Astyanax mexicanus: one gene and its partners. The protein of the gene in region 1 binds, or shares a complex with, the protein of each later gene. Links are inferred from orthologs where the notes say so. Each region holds a gene or a part of one and is shown in the gene's direction. Other genes may lie near its edges. The genes, in order: ndufab1a, fdx2 and LYR motif-containing protein 4.

The links.
Region 2: ndufab1a (region 1) and fdx2 share a complex: the UniProt entries of both Homo sapiens proteins name them as parts of the mitochondrial core iron-sulfur cluster (ISC) complex. The link is inferred for Astyanax mexicanus from reciprocal best matches to the Homo sapiens genes NDUFAB1 and FDX2.
Region 3: the proteins of ndufab1a (region 1) and LYR motif-containing protein 4 are in contact, whole or in part, in a crystal structure (PDB 6ODD), measured with the Homo sapiens proteins. The link is inferred for Astyanax mexicanus from reciprocal best matches to the Homo sapiens genes NDUFAB1 and LYRM4. Residues at the interface, in NP_004994.1 of Homo sapiens: Lys92, Asp111, Ser112, Leu113, Asp114, Val116, Glu117, Met120, Glu123, Asp124, Glu129, Ile130, Asp132; in NP_065141.3 of Homo sapiens: Arg6, Leu10, Ser11, Tyr13, Arg14, Leu17, Arg18, Lys21, Arg37, Phe40, Arg41, Lys44.

Annotation. Positions count from the first base shown.
Region 1 is NC_064428.1:16,158,790-16,166,712, forward strand, and holds the start of ndufab1a (NADH:ubiquinone oxidoreductase subunit AB1a), read left to right. Parts: upstream 1-4,834; 5' UTR 4,835-4,918; coding exon 4,919-5,074; intron 5,075-7,923. Other genes in the region: protein tonB2, read right to left, coding at 1-244, 1,252-1,429, 2,903-2,905. UniProt on the Homo sapiens protein: Carrier of the growing fatty acid chain in fatty acid biosynthesis.
Region 2 is NC_064412.1:31,745,072-31,752,146, reverse strand, and holds the start of fdx2 (ferredoxin-2, mitochondrial), read left to right. Parts: upstream 1-3,995; 5' UTR 3,996-4,023; coding exon 4,024-4,204; intron 4,205-5,755; coding exon 5,756-5,810; intron 5,811-6,274; coding exon 6,275-6,381; intron 6,382-6,959; coding exon 6,960-7,047; intron 7,048-7,075. UniProt on the Homo sapiens protein: Electron donor, of the core iron-sulfur cluster (ISC) assembly complex, that acts to reduce the persulfide into sulfide during [2Fe-2S] clusters assembly on the scaffolding protein ISCU.
Region 3 is NC_064413.1:47,014,568-47,022,202, forward strand, and holds the start of LYR motif-containing protein 4, read left to right. Parts: upstream 1-4,538; 5' UTR 4,539-4,649; coding exon 4,650-4,735; intron 4,736-7,635.

The DNA of each region.
Region 1 (7,923 bases):
GCAGGAGGTGCATCAGTGGCTGGAGGGTCTGTGACAGGAGGTGTCAAGGTAGATGTAGAGATTGCAGCAGGGGGTGTCGATGAGGGTGTACTGTTGTTTGATGTGGTGTTGAAGAAACGAGAATGTTTGCATATTCCAAAATGTCTGAAGAAATCCTCTTTACGAATTATAGTGGTTGTGCAGCCTGGACAGTGGAAATGTAATTTTGGTCTACATTCAAACCCACATCGGTACATGGTGTAGCCTGAGGAAAGAAAACAGGACATATGTATGTTACTGCAAACAGTTAAGTAATATTAGATAAACTGATTTCAGAAATGTATAAACATAAAAATCCAACATGAACATTAAAGAATAATGCACATAGATAATTTAATAGAGCAAAAAACAAGAAGGAACATCAAGAAAGGGTTGGAGCAGCCTAGGAGATTTGAACTCGCACAATGACATATATATGTATATATATATATATATATATATATATATATATATATATATATATATATTCTACACCTCATACTGTCTGTTGTGATCCAATGAGTTGTTAAATGTGACTCTCATGCCAAATTTATTTGCTGGCCTAGACTGAGAGCAAATGCCGTTTACAACAAGATTTTGTCATTCTTAATAATTAGTCCAGTTTAATAGTTAAACTGGACTATGGTAGCTGTGGTTCATTGCAGTCAAACAGAGTAAACTACGCTATGCTCTGGTACTGTGATTTGATGGAAACGTAAATTGTTTTATAATAAAATACATGAAATGCACTTTTACTAAGCCCACTGCTTCAAAAGACAGATTTTCACACACACAACAATTAATTAACATGAACCTACATAAATCTGCTGTGTGCACTCTCACCAGAGAGGTCTCTAAATCAGCAAAAACTTACAGAATGATACTTTAAAGTGGATGTGGCTGATGCACACTACTTTAACTGTGCTGTAAACTCAATGAAGGTGGACTGAGACACTTGGTCTGGGAGTAGGCAGCTCTGGCTCCACATCTGGTCTCTACTGTGCTTAGTCTATTTGCAAATTTGATGGTGGAAAATTTAGCTTATTATTATAGAAGAGACACAGAACAGAATGGAACTTTAATGTTCATGTTTTCTACAGTCGTCTTTTAAACAAGAAATTAATGTGTGCTTTAACAATTAGTATTATTTTCTGTTGAAACTTGTGTAGTCATTTAAACATTTATATACAAAACATTTTTCTATAAAGCAAAAATACAATATAAAAAAAATACCTCCATATTCAACCGCTCCCCGGGCGTGCCAGGCCAGATGGAGCTGCACCTTGTACGGCTTTGCTGCTTTGAACTTGGAGAGACTGCAGAACGGGCACTGAAACAGATTTGTGCCGCGCACTCTGATGCATCTTTGAGGCTCTGGTTGTTGCCCTTTTTTCCGAACCGATGGATGAATCTGTAAAATGAATAAAAGGTGATGTAGATGGATTTTGTTTATGTAATGAGGTAATAATTAAAAAGTGCTGATGTTTTTTTTTTGTGAAGTTGTATATTGTTTATAAAAAGGAGAGCAGGAAGTCTCTGTTTTTAAATATTTGTTTAAATGTAAACAATTATAACTAAATACAAAAGGATTGTTGGGATTAGTTAATTTCTGTGCTCAGTGCAATGTTAAGAATGATTAAGGAAATTAAAGCAAAATGTATCCACAGGACTTTATAAAAAACTTTATGATTTTTTTTTACATTTTCTTAAAGGGAGATTTAGGCTGGCTGGGGTTAGGGGTTATACTGGAGAATCTCTAATAGAGAGGAAAATACATATGACACAATTGAGTACACTGCAAAAAATTGCAAAAACTAGATACAATTTATTTAAATTGAGACATAAATGCTTAAATTAAGCAAAAAAAGAAATTGCCAATGGGGTAACCAAACTTTTCTTATAAAGTATTTCTAAAATAAGCAATGACAAAGCCTCAAAATGAGTGAAATAAGACTCAAATCAAGCAAAAATGATTTATTTTCTAGCTTAAATTTCTACTCAAATTTTAGAATAACTTGATTGGTGACTTTTTGTGTTTAGTTTGAGTTCAAATTACCTAAAATAAGGTGAAAATTCTAAGTAAGACTGATTAAGATGCAAACGAGTGCTGCATGTTAATCTACACAGATTTCTCTCATATGCAGCAGCATTGGCTTTAGCAGCTAACCGCAAGTGCTAGCCATGGTTAGCACTAATAAATGCTGCTTGACAGCACTACACTGAGGAACCCTGAGTGTTCTGGTAACCCAGGGCGATATTAGCTAGTCCGATATACATGCCTATGAACAGCGAAAGAGCTAGCACTTAGCGCGATTAGCAGCTAATGCTGCTCCAGCAGTGCTAGCCAGGGTTAGCAGCAGCCTACAGGCCAATAATATTCACCTCTGAAAGGCAAAAGAGCTAGAGCTAGTAGCTAGATGGCTATTGCTAATACTGCTCCAGCCTCAGTGCTGGAGAACTAAACTGAAACTTCTGTATAACTTTAGTGGAGTGGCTTTACTGCTCCTTACAACCTGACTGGTAAATTTATACATAAGGTGCACCAGAATATAAGGCGCACTGACGATTTTGGGAGAAATTAAAGGATTTTAAGTGCGCCTTGTAGTGCGAAAAATACGGTAATATAAATGTTTTAAATTTAAATATTAAAGAAATGACTAATTACCTCAACACAGAACAATATAACGTTACCATTTTTCGACACAGTACAGATATATTTGTAACCGTTATAAACCTTTTAAACTCAAACCCAGTGCTCTGACTGTAACTGCAGTCATGTAGCTCACAGTAGGATTAATGCAGATTCTTTACTGCCTAAAGTCTCTTCACTTAATATATAATAAAATACATAGGTAAGCTTATTTTAAATAAAAAATATATACACCATTAGTTAGCTCCACAGTCTATGATTTTGACTGACTCGCGGGCTTCCTCTAGCGATCCGCAAATTCTTTGACATAACGGTGGGCGGAAGTGTGTCTATCTTCAAAATAAAAGCCCTAATTTAAAAAACTGACAGGACATTTTGAAGATTGTTTATCAAGGAAAGTTTGCGCATTTTAGTTCATTAATAAGGAATATTTTTTCTCTTTTAAGCACAATGAATTTAAAACAATACTTTTAAAAAATGAAAACGTGACGTTTTAAGAACATTTATTATAATGCTATCGTTATATGTTAAGGACGTTTCCAAAAGTGTAAAATGAATTAGCTAACGTTAGTATTTTAACTTTTATTATTTAACCTAAAAACGAATGGAAGGGAAACTTCAAGCTAACTAACCATCGATCCCTTCACTTTCACAGCTTCAGTTTCTCGAATATTGTAATTATTAAGTTAGTTATCATTGTAGTTGTTGTTATAATTTTCCGCTCGGAGCTGCTTCCGCTCAGATATTAATGTTATACACCAATAAACACTCACCCATCCGCGGCTCTCCATATTAACTGCAGCAGATCCGAGTCTCTAACCGTGCGGATCTGACCGTGCGGAGCTGAGAGTGCCGTACTGCGGATCTGCCCCCCAATAACACCCGTCTGCAGAAGCGCGGAGCCGCGGATGTAGGCCAGCAGATTCAGGCCAATGGCAGCGCATGCGCAGTAGGACCACGCGATTCTGCTGCGAAGCATGGCTGCGTCCAGAATTTATTTTATTTAGACATATGAAAAGACTTACAGAACCACAAACATTATTACAGTATTTTAAAGCATAATAAGCAGCTGTATCACTACTGGGTGAAAAAAACTGACAAAAAATTAAATAATAAAAAACTAACAAACAAACAAACAAAAAAATACATTACCAAAATAAAAATAAATATAAATGGACATACAAGAGATCAACATTCAAAACATACCTTCATTAATGAGCACAACTTAAAGGTATTCTTACTATTTTCAATTTTAACGTTTGTAGTACAGAGACAAAACATTTTAAGTGCTAAAAAAATTGGAATGTTTATTGGCTGTAACGTTAATAATTACATTTTCTGACCATTTGATGCTAAATGCAAAAATAGGAAATTGGATTTAAAAACTTTTAATGTAGTGCAGACTTTCGTTCTTTTTCCAATTTTTTCCTCTCTGCCTCTCACAATCGTAATTTTAGGATTTTTTTTTGTTGCATTTTTTGCATGAAGATTCAACTTTTCATTTTTCTTCCAATTCTGTTTGCGATAGGCTGAAATTAAGAATTGGATTAAACCCCATTTCTTATTTATTTCGAAATTAGCTTGATACAGTCAGAAAATTAAACTGCTAAAAGTTACACTGACCGTTTTCTCCTCCTCCTTTCCTGACCCTCCTCTCCTTCTTTTCTTCTCCTCCTCCTATCTTACTGCTCCTCTCCTCCTCCTTACCTACTCCTCCTTTTCTACTTCTTCTTTCCTACTTCTCCTCTCCTCTGCCTTTCCTAACCCTCCTCTTCATCCTCATCCTCCTTTCCTTTTCATCCACCTATCCTACTGCTCCTCTCCTCCTCTTTTCTTGGTATTCCACCAAATATTGATTTCTGAACTCTTACAACTTTATGAATACGAACTTGTTTTCTTTGCATTATTTGAGGTCTTAAAGCTCTGGATCTTTTCTCTCATTTTCTGTAAATGACAATATTTTTATTTAGAATTTGGGAGAAATGTCTGTAGTTTATAGAATAAAACAACAATATTCATTTTACTGAAACATATACCTATAAATAGCAAAATCAGAGAAACTTTATTTTATGGATGGTCTCTCTCTGCAGACAGCCGCTGTTCTCCCCCGGTCCGCGGTAGGGTAGGAGCCTGTAGGGGGCAGCAGCGCGGGGAGCGCCGCTATTAGAGGAGGAGGAGGAGGGGGAGAGGAAGAGGCCGCTGCATTGTGGGAATACTGTGTGTGTGTGGATCAGTGAGCACAGGAGTAACATGGCGGCGCGCATCCTTGCCCGGTGTGTCCGATCACTGAACCCCAGCCTGGTGTCTCTGAACCGGGGCTGCGGGGCCGCTGTCGCCTCGGCTCCTCTCGGCCTGAGCCGTTGCCTCTCTGTCCCGGCCTTCGGGCGCCCGGCCCGGCTGACTCAGGTGGGTCCTGTCGCTCCGCGCGGTCACAGCCAATGACCTACCCGAGCTCCTGACTGACTGCAGCCCCGCCGTGCCGCGCTGCGCCGAGACACGGTCAAAGTCAAACCCGGGGTTACAGAGAGTTACCTGGTTAAACCGGATTAATCTGATTTAATCCGTAGTCAGATCCGCATGACTGATAGTGATATTTAAACGTTATATCTATAGCGAACTAACGCTGGCTAGTTTAATTAGCAGCGCCGGCTAATCTGAGGTTAACTAACCTTAACTTCAGTAACGTCGTTATAAAGCTAACTAAACTGCACGTTTACGCTTTTTTACAGAGTAAAAAGGTATTTTAAATAATATTGTATTAAATATTAAAGTAGTAAATAATACCTGATAATCATATCTACTCTCAGTTACGGTAAAATGTATACATACTATTATATAAAGTTTTTTTTTTTTGAAGTATTTGGTTAATAATGTGCAGAAGATTTACTTAATCCTTTAGTTGTTTCTGTTATCTTTTATTATTTATAGTTAACGCTGGTTTGTTTAGTTAGTAAGTTAACACCCTCAATCTTCGTGTTCAGTTTGACTGCGGCTTTTTAAACCTTCAGAAAATTTACGTTATATTATTAAAAACGTTGTCGAGCTTTTTTCAGGAATTAATTGTGTATATGTTGTAGTATCACTGTTTCTCTCAGTACTGTAGGGATAGTGGTGTTTTTTAAATCTAATTTTATTTAAATTTTTTGTCCCCCAATCTTTCCCCCAATTTATAAAGCCAAATACCCAACCCACTCATTAGGACTCCCCCTATCACTAGTGATGCCCCAACACCAGGAGGGTGTGCTAATTGACATCACACAGAGAATGCAAGGCCAATTGTGCTCTCTCAGGGCTCCGGTAGCTGATGGCAAGCTGCATGAACAGGATTTGTAAATTCCTTATCATAGTTGGAGCCCCATATAGTGGTGTTGAGGCTTAAAGCAGAATGACGTTTTTATATTAAGTATCAAAAAATATTAGCTTTTTATACTGAGCTCAGTATTCTCCATTGCAACGTTTTTATACACTTCAAAACTGTTTTTTTTATTATTTGGTAAAGTTAACTAGGCAGAAAACACTGGAACATGGAAATTCACCTGTACATTATTGTCTTTTTGTTCACACACACACATATAAAGCATTGAACAGTATTTTAGGCAGTCATGTAATGACCAGTACTTCAGTAACTGTGGGTAGGTGAGGTCCCAATCTAGGATTAATTCAGATTTAGTTATTTTTAAAAGGGTATTATTGGTTTGTTATGCTATTATCATTGTCAGTGTATTTTAATGGTCTTCAAATGGGAATCCCAGAATTTTGTTTTTTTTTTGCAATAATTTCTGGTATTTTTGGAATTGTGTCGATCCTACACAAAAATATTCCCTAGCAAATGTTAAACATCAAATAGGGCCAAATTGACCTCAGATAGAGGGTAGTTCTAAAGTTAAATTCAATTTTCAATTTTTTGTGCATTGCTTTATTGTATGACTACAATGTATTAAATTAAATTGTATTAGCTATATTACATTATGTAGGGGTTAAGGGAGGTACTTGAGTCTACTATGTAGCATTTATTATATACTGAAGTGATAAGTGAACAACCAAACACACTCTTTATTTGTGCCGCTGTGAGGTGGTCTGGTACACCACCACTGCGCTGCATTGTTATACACTGGTGATTGCAGTGAGTGCTGCATTATATGGATTTAGTAGTATTTAGATTTTAAACAGCATTACAAAGTGGCTGACACACTATTTAGTGCACTATTTCTGTAATAGGGAGCGAACATTTTGGTTCTTTAAAATATTTCCACTTTGCAGAGCGTTTTTAAAATGTGCATTTTCGTGTGGATGGGAGGCCAAAATACTATACTATAATAAGAAATAATTGTGGGTGGAGCTCTAGGACACCCTGTACATAACTCTACTGCAAATTAATGTAGTTCTTAATACTAATGTGCTTGTTTTAGTGTCTTTACAGTGTAATATTCATATTTTAAATGTATGTTAATAATTGATTTAGCTATATTTAAATGCATAAATATTATCTTGTGTGTGTTTTTTTTTTTTTTTTTAAGATTGCTATTTAAATTTGTGTCCGTAACCTGCAGAGCATGAATTTACTAGGCAAAAGTGGCAAAAATAAAAAAATATATATAATATATATAAAAAAAAAATAAAAATAAAGACCGAGCAATGATGTTTAAAATCATAAAAATATTTATAGGCTAATTTACTTGAGCAGTGGTAAAAACTGTCAAAAATAATAAAAACGTATTCAGTTTTAGTTTCTGCAGGAGAACATCCCTAGAATATATGCTGACAAACCAAAAGTCATGGGATAGCAGTGCGTAAATTAATCATGAACTGTTATCTCAAGGGACATAATGCATAACATTTGTGAACTGCTCATGACATGGCAACATGAATGTTTACAAGCAAGGCCTGATATTCGGTGCCAAATGAATTGGACTTTTTCTGAAGTTGTGCAGGCATTTAACATTCCTCTACTCACCGTGTCTGGTCTGACATTACCGCTCTCAGTGGACAGTACAGTGAGTGGTAATGTTTGTCACTGGTGGTTAGAATTTCTATGCAAACAATCAAGCAACTCATGCATATCCTGAAGATCAGTGTATTATTTTGCTTTTACTGTCCCATGACATTTGGCATGTTCATGTTATTCCAGGAAATTGTTAGTAAGCTGTTAGAGAGTTTTGTCAGGCAGTTTTCTTATTTAATGTATAGCCTAGGGATATATGTAATGGTTGATTTCCCTCTGATGTGTAGAGAGGACAAAATGTAAATGTTGATTT
Region 2 (7,075 bases), on another chromosome or scaffold:
AAATAAAAAAATAAACAATGAAATGATTTAAATTAAACAGTTAATCAGTTATAAAAAGCACAATTAAATATTTATAACATATTGATAAAAACATATGATAAAATAATATGGGGGCAAAGGCAAAAGACAAAACACAAGGTGCACAGACAGAAAACAATAAACAGAATAAATGTAAATGTACAGGTATATATAAGCCAAATGTCTCTGATTCTTATACTGGCCTATTTGTTCTGCTTCCAGCACATCAACTTCAAAACAGTGACTGTTTCTTCACTTGTTGTCTTATTCCTTCACAGGTGCCACTGAAACCAGATCATCAAAGATATAAACCAAGATACTACAAGGACTTTGTTAAAAAACTCAAAATGTTCTAAACCCACTTTGGTTTGTGCATTTTCACAACAATTCCACAAATGATACCACTGCACATCACACATCACTTCACACTTCAGACACATTACACATGTGGCTTTCTGTTCCGGCTGGATTGTCGTTCTCAAGTGTGATCTTATCAAAATACCAGAGTGGAAACATGAACTAAACAGACCTACTAAAATAAACTACAGGTGTTTTCCAAAGATAATTAGAAACACATTACGTATCACATTACTTCCCACTAGTAGTTCTAATTTTGAATTAAGTTGTTTTAAATTGCAGTATATGTACATATACATTTATGCTTTTAAATTACTGTAATGATGCTATTTAATCATGTTATTCAAATGCTATATAAATAAAATTGAATTGAATTATCATGCATGCCCATATTTCAGTGTTTATTTTTCTGCCTGATTTAAAGATTAGAAACACATTACTATATTACTTTCAACTATTAGTTCTTTTTATGAATTCAGTTGTTTTTGTTATATGTTTAGTTTATGCTTTCAAATATTTTAAAGATCTTATCATATATATGCCCATTTTTATTTATGTGTATTATTATAATATATAACACAGCAGTTATTTTTTATATTTTGTAAAAGTTCATGGTGAATATAGAAGCTAGAAATGTCTGAAAATGGCTTTTAGCTTAAAAATCATTTTACAGTAACTTACAGGAACATGTTTATATATACTTTACATAAGACTGAATTTGTATATAATAAAGTTTTTTTATTTTTTACTTAGTTTCTTTAACTCACTGGAGTGAACAAATTAAATAAGGCTTTTTACAAGACTTTCTACTTTTCATATTTTCTACATGTTTTTTTATTCAATAAATAAATAGAATAATTGTGATATACTTTAGAAGTAGTTAGCAAAACATGGGATTTGAAATTCGATCAAAAAGTCAAATTATTATGTCACTTTTTGGAAATTTTTTTGGAAGTCAGAATGTGTGAAGCTCTTCTGAGAATAATATTGTATGACTGATGTACAGAACTGGAAAAGGAAAGTGGTGGTTGATAACAGATGTGTCACTGCATGATTTCCACTTGATTACACTTGTTCGCCTATGGCACAGAATGAGAAGCTCAGCATATTTTTGTGATGACAGTCAAATCACACATAATATATATTAGCCTAAATGGTAAATATTAACACAATAGTTATTAAATAAAGTAGAAGACCTGTGCATTTAGGCCTATTTTAATCCAGAAAATATTTTTTAAGCATTCTATTGTAAATGTGGCAAATATATATATATATATATATATATATATATATATATATATATATATATATATATATATATATATATATATATATATATATATATATATATAAATAATAATGTATTTGACTTTGTTTAAGTTGAAAAATGTTCAACAAACCTATTTAATGCTTTTACCAACAGAGAAACCGGTCGTTTTTATGGGAGGACATGACTTGTAGCTGTGACATATAGAGATTTTCTTACCTTTATATAAATAAATGATGACGAGGTGAAGCGACATTCTAAACCGATTGGCCAGCCTTCTGCTTTCTGAACGTTTGATTTCTACTGTACATACTCAGCAATGTGGTTCTGAAGAAGACAGAAAAATTGAGAAAAATAAAGCAATAGGTAGCTTTAGGGCTGGATGATATTGCAAAAATCTATATCACAATATATTTCTTAATTTCGGTCGATATGATACAAATGATTCAAATATTGATATGACCAGCATGAAAGCCACCACCCTTGGTTTACATAATTACACACTGCTAGAGCTGCATGATCTGGTTAAAAATATTATCACATGAAGAAACAATGTTGCAAATTCTAAACATGTAACATATATCAAACATATATTTTTAAATTTTATTGGAAAATGATTTCAGTTTGGATTTTGCCAGTCTTTTCTTTATTTGTTTTTAAATTTTTGTGTATTTTGGACAGAGGCTTTTCAGGGGGGCAATCAGATTTCAGCTGGGGCCAATGCCCTTGTGGCCCCACCACTAGAGCCTCCAGTGCCTCGATATGCTTATAAGAGGTTCTATCACAATACAATAAAATAATGATATATTGCTTGCTAGGTAGAATAGCCAGCATGCTAACCAGTCACACCAGTGTTTGTTTAACTGTAGTTTTTTTTTTTTTTCAGGTGAGTGGACAATGAAGAGAAGATATGGTAAAGGATGGCATTAGCTAGTATTAGCTTTTAGCTTAGCTCCACATTGGCTTTCACGTCTTGGCGAACCAATTCTGGAGGTGATAGGCTTCTCTCCAGTATCAACAACATTATGTACTGGCAAAGTTTTCATCTCATTTTACTGTTTTGAGTACTCTACTGCTTTGAGTAGAGTTTTCTGTAGTATGTTGGGTTTACGTAAATATTGGGGGTGTAAATATAATGATTCAAGACTGCTATGTAACATTGTTTGAGCTTTCATTTCCCAAATGTTTAGTATTCAAATATGTCAAAATAAATACTGTTTGACATTCTATGAGCTCCGTTAAGGTTAAAGTTAAGTGTTAAAGTGTTAGCTTTAGTATTGCGACATAAAGGCCAGAGGAAGGCTTTGTTTAAGTTGGTTGTGTAAAGACAAAAGAACTTGTTGTGATCTCTTTCAGGAAGCCAGCATGCAGACACAATGCTCTACTATAGGGTGCACAGGAGATGGCTAGCCAGATTAGAAAGCCTATGTGCAAATGTTATTTGCATCCGAGAGTTTACCAGCTGACCTGTGTGTTATTTAGGCAGATGAGCAGGTAAAGAGGGTTCTATTATGGCTGGTAACTACATGGCAGTGATTGGGATGCTGTATATCATCACATCTGTCGTGTTATTTACAATACTGTGTGTAAAAAGAGGAAAAATACTCATCTTCTGGTCATGACTTTGACACATTTCTCTTAGCAGTTTACCTTGAGTAACCCTTTACATGCGTATCATTTGTCCTATAGCGCCCTCATGCGGCCAAATTACACAACGACCATTGTAGGGTGGTTAAGGACCCACCAACACTGAAACTTAGTTAAATAGGAGATCTTATCTTTATTAAACTCATCAATCATTAATTACAGATCTGTAGCAATAGTGGAGATCATTTTATTCCTCTTTTTCTCCCTCAACAAGTTTTCAGTGGTCTACCAGTTTGTTCTAAACTTCTGTTACTTGATATTTTATCCTTAATCTTTCTCATTTAACGTTTTACCTAAAAAAAAAAAAACTTAATATATAAAATTAAAAAAAAGAAAATAATCATAATAATTCTAACCCCATTTCCTTCTTCCCCTCCTTCACTTCTCTATCCCTTTATTTCCCTTCGACCTCCTTTGAGCCCTATCTAAAATGGTTTATCTTAATTCCTATTACTTTTGTACTTCATTATTGTAAGTCGCTTTGGACAAAAGCGTCTGCCAAATGCAATGTAATGTAATGCAATGTAATGTCTTAATAGTCATTCTGACCAAAAATGACAGTGAATTTAGAATAAAATAAAAATAATAAATTAATACCAAATATTAATAATGACCTTAAAATAAAAACAGAGCTGAACTTGTGTTTAATAAACCTGCACACCGACGAGAGCTACGTCACTCCTCCGTCTTCTTTTCTGATTGGCTACTGCGGACCATGTGACGACAGCAGTGTCATGGCGGCCGCCGCTGCGGTCCGTGCTCTGAGTGTGCGGCTCGGTAAAGTGGCCCCGGACTGCAGCGTCTGTCCGTTTTACCGCCTCAACATGTGCAGCGGAGCCGTGCTGGGTCCCACCAGAGGGAGACGAGCCATGGAGCTCTACTCAGCCCCCAACAGAAAGCTGCAGACCTCCATTAGTGAGTGTATCCGAGCTCCCAAAGTCAAACCGCGGGTTTTATAACATCAGAGAACTTAGGGTGTCTGAACTGAGCTCTAACTAACACGCTGATACTGAATTATTATCGTTTTTATTTGTGTTTATTCTAGTTTAGCACCTTCAATTACTGTCTGGTGTTACTGAGTTTCAGAAATATGTTACAGGTTGAGTTTGATGGCTGTTATTTACGTCTAAATTCCTAATTCAAAAGTATCCAAACGCTTCATTACCCTTCAGACAGCTTGAATAATCTTGATGATTAGACTCACATAAGTCTAAAGTCATTGTGCTGAATTCCAGGCTTGGTAGAGGGACCTAGAGGAGTTGTGGAGCATTGGAACTGCATTCTCTGGTCTGATAAAGCTCCATCCTCTAACGTTACTCTTGGAATGAGTTAGAGTTCATTCAAATTCAGTACCTGAATGCCATCAGATCCTCACAGCAAAGTTCTGTCAGAAAAGTGGAGGCTGTACCTCCAGCCACGCGAGTATTGAGGAAAAACTCCTCATTAATGACGTTGTTTTTACAAAGGTTTCAAAAGTATTTACATTTATTACTCAGGTAGAAAAGGATACTAAGGTGTAAATACTTCCGTAGAAGTTGAAGTATCAACTCAAGCTTTTTACTCAAGAAAAAAATTGGATGCACTAGGCTCCCTGTTTCAGATGTGTATATGCTAATTGAAAATGAGTGTATTCTAATACAATGCAAATACAGCACTGAAAAAAATGAGACCATTTAAAAATATGAGTTTCTTTAATTTTATCAATTTGAAAACCTCTGGGATATATTCAAGAGGAAGATGGATGATCACAAGCCATCAAACCAAGCTGAACTGCTTGAATTTTTGCACCAGAAGTGGCATAAAGTTATCCAAAAGCAGTGTGTAATACTGGTGGAGAAGAACATGCCAAGATGCAAAAAAAAAAAAAAAAAACAAAGACAGGGTTATTCCACCAAATATTGATTTCTGAACTCTTAAAACTTATTAAATATGAGCTTGTTTTCTTTGCATTATTTGAGGTCTTTTTTATTATTTCAGCCATTTCTCAATTTCTACAAATATATTTTATAAATGTCAAAAAAAAATTATTTGGAATTTTGGAGAAATGATGTGCGTAGTTTATAGAATAAAGCAACAATGTTAATTTTACTCAAACATTTTAAAATCGTCTGAAATATAATTACTCCAGTGAAGACAAATTCTAAACAAAAAAATCGACTTAAGTAAGTTAAAGGAGTATTTGTACTTTGCTACTTCCCATTTAGTTTTTTTTTTTTTTTTTTTTTAAGGAATATTTTTGGTTTTGGTTACTACTTGTAACAGGCTGTACTTGCAGGCATTACTCAGCAGCTTGGTCTTTAGTTGGTCAAGTTAAACTTGTTTTGGACTGTCAGGGAAATCTCATTACAAGAGCTTTGCTAAGAGAGCAGGAAAAGTCCAGTCCAGTGCAGTTAAGCAGATGAGTGTCTTTGTTAGACTCATTGCAGAGGTTCTCACTAAACTGTTCACTGTGGTTTATTATTTCAGATCTACGTCAGAGTGAGGAGGGCAGCTCGAACGTGGAGGACACCGATGAGGATGTGTATGTTACTTATGTTACCCTCCCTTTAACTTTATATTAGGTTTCCTATGTACATGTCCACCAGATCTATGGTTGCTGAGGAGCGAAAACCTTGTGTTTATCCAAAAATGGAAATATTAGAGGGATGGTAGAACTCTGGACTTTAAACATATAAGTGTAAAATGATTTTATTCCATTGAAAGCGTTTTTTATTGGTTAAATTAGCATGCAGTAGTGACACAGTTTAAATATTTTCCCTAAGTGAAAAACTGCAAAAATGGAGATGCAAGGTTTTTGACACTTTGATGTGCTCCCCAAACAAATAACTATTCGCATGCATCAAAATTCCCATGACATGTAATATTTAATGTTTATTCAGCATTTATTCATTTATTTTGAACAAATATTTGTATTTACTTATTTTGTTTTTTTTTTGTATTATTTACTTACCTATGTTCTTTTCTACCCCACGTCTCTTGTTGTAGTGTTAACGTGGTGTTCATTGATCGGTCTGGACAGAAGATTCCGGTAAAGGGTAAAGTTGGAGACAATGTCTTGTATCTTGCGCAAAGACAAGGCATTGAACTTGAAGGTAAGTTCTTGTTTATACCGGTCTTAAACTGGAGATTGTTACATAATAACATATGTGTGCTCGGGAATAGAATTGCATTGAACCTTCCAAAGACAATACACTTAATGTTTAAGGGTCCTGAGAAATCCTAGACATAACTTGCCAACTGTTTCACAGATTTTACAAAGTGTGTTTTTTTTTTCCTGTTTTGTTGTAAATTACACCTGTTTTTGCCAAAAGTATAGTGATGTGAGTCAATGTTTCTGTAGGACCCTGGCATCCGAGAATCAGAACATTTTTAACATACGTAATTGATCTGTGATCAGTTTTGCATGTGAACTATTCATAATTATTCATACTCTATTCCAAACCATAATATTGTGTAACCTTAGTATATTAACATACCATCAGACATGCTGTATTGTAGGATCCTGCTCTTAGTGGCAGCCAGTAAAGCATAGAAGACCTTTTAATGTTATTGTCCATATCTGTCCCTACTGAAAGTATTACCTACTTTGTGTGCAGCATTTGGTGTTGTGTAATTAGTATTATTATTAACTAATCAGGATTATTAACTTGTTAATTTGCTTTGTTTTCAGGGGCCTGTGAGGCATCCTTGGCCTGCTCTACGTGTCATGTTTATGTACATGAGGAGTATTTTGATAAACTACCAGACCCTGAAGAAAGGTAACAATTCTAAAGTCCTAAAGACAGC
Region 3 (7,635 bases), on another chromosome or scaffold:
GATATTCGGCACTGATTCGCGAATATTCGAATATTCGTTTTTAAAAAAAGAGGTAAAAAAAAAAATTAAAAAAAGCAAATCACGGCCCCTTTAATCCACTGAAAAATGTTCAATTTGCTCTGACCAACGAGACATATTCACCCCGGATTTTTGGTGTTTTTATCCCGGATTTTTGTGTTTTCACCCCATATTTTTTCTGTGTTTTTAGCCCAGATTTCTTGGTGTTTTCATCCCGGAATTTCTGCTGCCCCACACGCGGCTTATCCGCTGCGTAAGCAGGCTAGGAGGCTGCTGCTGCACGGTTTCTCCGCTGCGCAAGCCAGCCCAGTAAATTGCTGTTTGTGTTTTCACACTTAGGTTATTTGCTTAAAAAAAACAAACAAAAAAAACGTTTGTTCAGGAAGTATTTTATATTCTTAAACATTGTTAATTATATTAGAGGACAGTCATTGTAAACTGTACTTGGTCTATTTCGGTTAAAGGATTGTGCAGGGCATATTACTGATTTTGTATTTTTGCACTTGGGCTATAAGCTCAATATTAAATATTTCGTTTGTTTAGAAATTATTTTATATTTTTAAACCATGTTAAATTATATTAGAGTAGAGGAAAGTCATTGTTAATGACGTTATTGTACTTGGTCTATTTCTGTTTAAGGATTGTGCAGGGCATAGCCGTATTACTGATTTTGTATTTTTGCACTTGGGCTATAAGCTCAATATTAAATATTTTGTTTGCTTAGAAATTATTTTATATTTTTAAACCATTTTAAATTATATTAGATAAGAGGAAATTCGTTCAGACATCATTTTTGTAGGCCAGGCTTTTGTAACCGATTTAGCCCCTACTGTTGCCACATTACCCCTTACGTTTTATTATATAAATCAGTTTCGAAGAGCCTGCATTTTTTTTTTATCATGTATAATAGAGGTCTGCGCGAGACTGATTTTTAAACCCACTCTTCCATGCTCCCGCGTTTCTGTCTCGTTACCACTCCGCAAAAAAATTGCTTCTTTTAATCCCGCGCCCGCCCGCCACATACACATTTCTGCCGCTCCCGCCCCACGTTCCTAATATAAATTAAATAAACTACATTTAATGCTTCAAATTTACTTATATATTTATTAAAACAGCAGCGCTGAATAGTGCGGTCCCGTTCCTTACCCCAGTCCAAACACCATCGGTGTGTGCGTGTGTGTGTCGGTCCATCCTGCGCGTTGAGAGTTTTCTTTAGGTTTTTTTTTTTTTTTTACAATTATTACAGTTTTCTTAACTATTTATTAATTTGCTCCCGCATCGTCTGGATTAAACTCCCGCTCCAGCCAATAACAGTTCAGTTCTGTCCCGCGCGCAAGATATTCTGACGGGACCCGCGAGAACAGAAGTGGTTAGAGTGAGGTGGAACTCTGGAAAGGAGAAAAAAAACGAATATCCGAATACCAAAATTAAAAACCGAATACCTACTCAACGAACGAATATCCGAATACCCGAATATTCGGGTCCAGCCCTAGTGGACATTTTTAAGGCCCCATTAATAGACATTACTGCCCAGCACCACTAAACACTGTGCTCAGAACCGAGTTTATTGCTAATGTCCATACACACAGGCTACAAAAACACAAATCACAGCAGATTAACAAGCTGTAAGCCAGTTATTTCACATCAGTATTCAACAAAGAACAACAGATTTCAGTCAAACACATTAAGAGGCAAGAAATTTAAGTAATTAACTCCTGACGAGGTACAGCTGTTAACTGAAAGCCATTCCAAGTGACTCTACCTCATAAAGCTGACTGAAAAAATTCAGCCAAGATATGCAAAGCTGTCATCTACCCAAGACGTGCTACTTAGAAGAATCTAAAATATAAAACATATTCTGGTTTGTTTAATACTTAAATCCATGTGTTTTTCTCCATAGGTCGTATGTAGGGTTGCAGCGGTAACCGGTTTCACGGTATACCATGGTATTAAAATGCACGGTTATCATACCGTGTGTGTTTGCTTATTACCGGTAAAACGCAAGCCAGCGGAGAAACTCACCCGCGCATGCGCAACTCTGCTCCGCTTCAGCTGCTCAGCACACAGCGGTGAGAACAACAGAAAGTGCATCAGACTAAACAAATCTCCGTCCGCCTAAAAAAAGGCTAAACTAAAATCAGCAGTGTGGGACTATTTCGGATACCCGCCGAACGCAGGATGGTTATCCGATTTGTAATCAATGTGGCCGTAAAGTCACAGCTAAAGGTGGACATACGTCAAACCTGTTCTCCCATCTCCGAGAACACCACCCCGCTGTGCAGCGCAAAGTATGTGTTTAGCTTATAATTTTAATCTGAACCTAAATAAAACCTCTTTGTAGTCGTGCACAACCCATGCAGTAAGCGCCCGCAAAAGCGCTGAGTTATCCGAAATTTGGGCACGCAGGTACAGGCGTGAAGTGCGTGCTACGATGGATTCACGTGTCCGTGTAAAGGTCCTGGCCGGACTGGATGTGAAAGACGCCATTCATTTACATGCGTTCATTTTCAAATTCTGACGTGCCTGTTTTTCAAATGTTAAAACCAGACTCGGTGTGAAAGCCTTAAAATAGAAATCTCTATTGTGAGGATCATGTCAGAAATAAATCCCCTCTTTCTGCAGTATCTGGTTATATACCAACTTGGCAGTAAAACGGACGTTTACAACAGTTGTTGATCAGACACTGACCCAGGCTCAGTTTATCAGATATTAAATAATTTAAACTTAAATAATTGTACTGAATAGTTTAAACACAGGATCTTTACTTCTTAGAGGACATGTAATGTGTGTAACGTGTGTGTATGTGTGTATATATATTATATATATTTATATATATTTTTTTTATATACACTCTTAATGCCCTTAAGAGTAGTGGAAAAAAAATTTTTCCTTCACCTGATGGTATACAGCTTATTTTTTTTTAAGGAGACATTAAAATTATAATTGTTCCAGGTTTCTACAATAAATAGTTAATTGAACAAAAAACCTTTGTTGTAATTTCTTTAAGGGTCAGTTTAATAATATATGTAACAAACTGTGATACCGTGATAACCGTGATACCGCGGTATTTTCTGAGACGGTTATCATACCGTGAAAATCTCATACCGTTGCAACCCTAGTCGTATGATTTTAGTATTAATCTACAAAGGATATTGTTTTATACAACTTTTTAAATAATGAAAAAACAAACAGCATATTTAAGGTGTATCCTACTTTTAACTGGTAATATTCATATGTTTACATACTTTCAATGTCAATATATTTCAATAATGCTGAATGCAAAATGCTTTTTAATAATGCTGAAGTGAAAACATTCACTAAACAGTCACATTCACAAACTCCTTCAACACGTGCCGACATGTTCATGCTCTCTCTCTCTCTCTCTCTCTCTCACACTATCTCAGTCTCCCTGTGTCTCTCTCTCACACACACTTTCTCAGGTTCTTTATCTGTCTCTCTCACACACACACTCTCAGTCTCTCTATCTGTCTCTCTCTCTCAGTCTCTCTCTCAGTCTCTCTGTCAATCTCGTGCTCAGTCTCTCTACCTCTGTCTTTCCAGCTCCTACACAGTCTCTCGCTCTCTCACAGTCAGACTCTGTCTCTCCTTCACACACATTCTCTCTCGCAGTCTCTCTCTCCCACACACAGTCTCTCGCTCTCAGTAACTGTCTCTCTTTTGCTCAGACTCTGTCTCTCACTCACACACTTTCTCTCTGTGTCCCTTTCTCTCTCTCTTCACAAAGAGAGATACTGGCCAGGCTAAGCTTGCTGTGTGACTGTCTAGGAAGAACAAATTGAAGGAGGGTGGCTCTCAGGATGCTGGAGACATGCTTAAAACTCTGATAAAGATTAGATTGAAAATTGATTTAGTTTTTTAATGAAGATTATTTGGTCTTGTGCACACAGAAAAATAGAAAAGCCACTTATTTTAGTTTGACCCTTTTTTATTTTTTTTTTGTGTAATGTAAATTTTTAATAGTAAAATAAAGCGTGCCAAAAGTCAAAAGTGTCTCTTTCTCTCTCTCTCTCTCTCTTACTCACACACATTCTCTCTATGTGTGCATCTTTCTGTCTCTCTCTCTCTCTTTCTTTCTCCCTCTCTCTCTCACTCTCTCTCTCCCACTTTCCCTCTCTCTCTCTCTCTCTCTCTCTAACTATATATATATATATATATATATAATATCTCAGTGACAGTAGTGGAGTTTATCAGTCAGTCTGTAAACAGTAAACACAGTAAACACAGCTATAAACACACAGAGAACGGAGCTGAACCCGGGCTGTGCTCTGAACGCGCAGTATAAATGAGCTGTGAGTTTAGAGAAGAAGGAGGAGGTGAATAATATAAATAATAACAGTATTAAGTTAATAAACATGCAGCCCTCAGACTGTCCCACTCACCTCTCTCAGACCCGCCGCCTGTCAGAAACACGCCTCACCTGCGCGCGAGCCTGATCAATATACACACCCGCCCCGCGCTCAGCGCTGTACACTGATTAATATCTGAATTCGCTTTATTTCTACAGCCTGTTTAAACTATAAAACTGTTTATTTGCTCCGCAGTCGGAGCGCGAGAGGCGATAAAGGCGGGTTTTCTGTTCAGGCAGTGTTTTAGTCGCCTTTGTGGGAAAGATGGCGGCGTCCAGTAGAGCGCAGGTGCTGTCTCTGTACCGGAGTCTGCTGAAGGAGAGCAGGGCTTTCCCCTCCTATAACTACAGGTATTTACACAATTTACCCCCTTAATACCCCACCACACACACCTGCCCTGCGCGCGGGGGCTGTGTGAGGTGGGTGTGTAGACTGTAGAGCTGTTGGGAGTCTGGGTTCTTTTCACTGACAACACAACTCACTGTAGTTATCCCCTTTCTGTTAAATAAATCTCCAATAATTTGCTTTAAAACGTGTTTTCTGTGTTTATTATTTATTTCTCGGTTACTTTGTACCTTTAGAAATCTCCAGCTCTTGTTGTGAAACTTTAAAGCCCATATAAGTGTACACGAATCAGTCAGAAGTATATTGTGTAAGCTCATTAGCTAGACTCCTTTAAAGTCCTTCAGGAAAAAAAGAACTATTGAGAAAGTTCATTTATTTGTATAAATTCTTTACAGCCCGTTTTTTTTTTTTTGTAAACCAGCTTTGGTTTGTAAAAACAAACATATGCACAGGGAAAAAACAAACTGGCAAGCTTTAGGAAGAAGCCTAGCCTAGCTCTGGGGGACCCATGCAAACAAAAACTACTAAGGATTGTGTAATAAATGGTAAAACGTCACCTTACCATAACATAAGGCCATTTCTATTTACTGGTGTACTAAAATAACACGTTTAGCAGTAGTAGAAGAAGGTTTAGCAGTATAAGTATCAGTATTATTAGCATTAGCAGTGGTAAAAACTGTACCACTAGCAGTTGTACTAGCATACGTAGGAGCAGTAGTATTAGCAGTATTATTAGCCATACAGTAGTGGTATTAGCAGAAGTAGTAGCAGTATTATTAGCAGTCGTATTCATATTAGTAATAGAAGTACTAACAGAATGGTAGCAGTATGTGTAGCCGTATTATTAGCAGTAGTAACAGTAGAACTATCATTAGTACTAGCAATAATAGTAGAAGTAGCAGCAGTATTTGTATTTTAAAAAAGTGTTTGCTGTAGTAGTAGTAGTAGTAGTAGTAGTATAAGTAACAGTAGTACTATTAGAAGTACTAGCAGTAGTAGCAGTATTATTAGCAGCAGTGACAGTAGAACTAGCATTAGTACTAGCAATAATAGAAGTAGCAGCAATATTTGTATTATAAGCAGTATTTGTTGTAGTAGTAGTAGTAGTAGTAGTAGTAGTAGTAGTGGTAGTAGAAGTAACAGTAGTACTATTAGAAGTACTAGCAGTAGTAGCAGTATTATTAGCAGTAGTGACAGTAGTATTACCATTACTAGCAATAATAGTATAAGTAGCAGCAGTATTTGTATTATTAGCAGTATTTTAGCAGTAGTAACAGTAGTACTATTAGAAGTAGTAGCAGTAGTACTAGCAATAGTAGTAGAAGTAGCAAACATATTTGTATTATTAGCAGTAGTAGTAATAGTTGTACTGGCAGTAGTAGAAGAAACAGTAGTATTAAAAATAGCTGTACTCGTATAAGTAGCAGAACTCACTGTAGTTTATCCCCTTTTTGTTAAGGGAAAACTCCAGTAAATAGGATTAAAACATGTTTTCTATGTTTTTCTAATGAGCACTGTGATTTATTGGTACATTTAGAAATCTTCAACTCTTGTTGGGCAATTTTAAAATCTATAAGAAAACAATTAAACGTATAAAGAATCAGTCAGAGGTCACATACAGTAGCAGATCATTAGCCAGGGGGCCTTAACAGCCCAGACCCTGACCCATTTAGTAGTTAAAGTTGAGGCCAAAGTTGTTTAAAAAATATATATATATATATATATATATTTGTGTTAAAAAAACACTTTAATGTTTCCAAGTTAATCACATGTTAAGATAATATAACCTTGACCGCACTTAATGTAACTGTTTAGGGTGAAACAGAGTTAGAATTCGAAGCCAACTGGATTCCATTTTCAAAAGACGGTACCACATCTATTAATAAATGCCTGGGTCATGCTTTTATTGTGGGTTTTGAGGTGTGTTTAGTATTGTTATTTTGCTGGTGTTTAATTAAATAAATTCTTCCCTGTACTACTGGTTTTAGGTGATTCGATGTGTAGGGCTAGATTAAGAGCTGTGCCTGTATTTAGGCTGCATTTCACTCTTACAGCTTTATTTTGTACCATTGTATCATTGACAGTCTGAGGGCTGTATGCAGACCAGATTAAAATAACAGTTCATGAAGTTCATCAGGTGGCCTCTCTTTCTTACAGTGAGAGATGGGCTGCTGTGTTTTGTTTTTCCCAAAAGTGGGAAAGGGGGACACACCTGTTTCAGTAAAGCAGTTACAAAACTATAGCATATAGCTGCATTAGATTGTAACAGCTTTATTAGTGTCCTTATATTCAGTCTGTACATGTTTATTTTTTATTATGCTGTGGTGATATGGCAACAGGGTCATTGCATCCATGAAGGTCACACCCCACAACGGATTTAAAGGTTCTGCTGTAAAATACATTGTGGTGGCTTGGTCCAGTTTTTTTTTTTAGACTTACCAAAAAATAGACTTACTGCTGGGGGGTGGGCAGATTCATTTTTATATACTAGCAACAGGGATTTGCTTAAACTGCCCAAGTCCTGTGTTTACTTGGCCACAATACCATCCAATTTTGGATTCTTTTTAAACTGAAAAAAAAATAAAAAATAAAATACAAAGTTTAGTTTGTTTACAGACCAATTGAACACATACAGTAAATGTTAAACCAGCAAGCTTACAGAACACACTCCAATCTGTCTGTCTGAAACTCTACTTATAGTAAACTGTTTAGATGAGAATGATGATTGAGCGACTGGACGGAGCAAATATAGAAATTAGCTTTTTATCTAGATAACTTTAGCTACTAGATTAACCCATCTTCAGAGAGATTTGAGGCACACATTTCATATTTCTTTGCCTGAGTGTATAACAACTTAGGTGGACTTTGTTTTTGTTTTTTTTTCTTCGTTTTTTAATATATATAC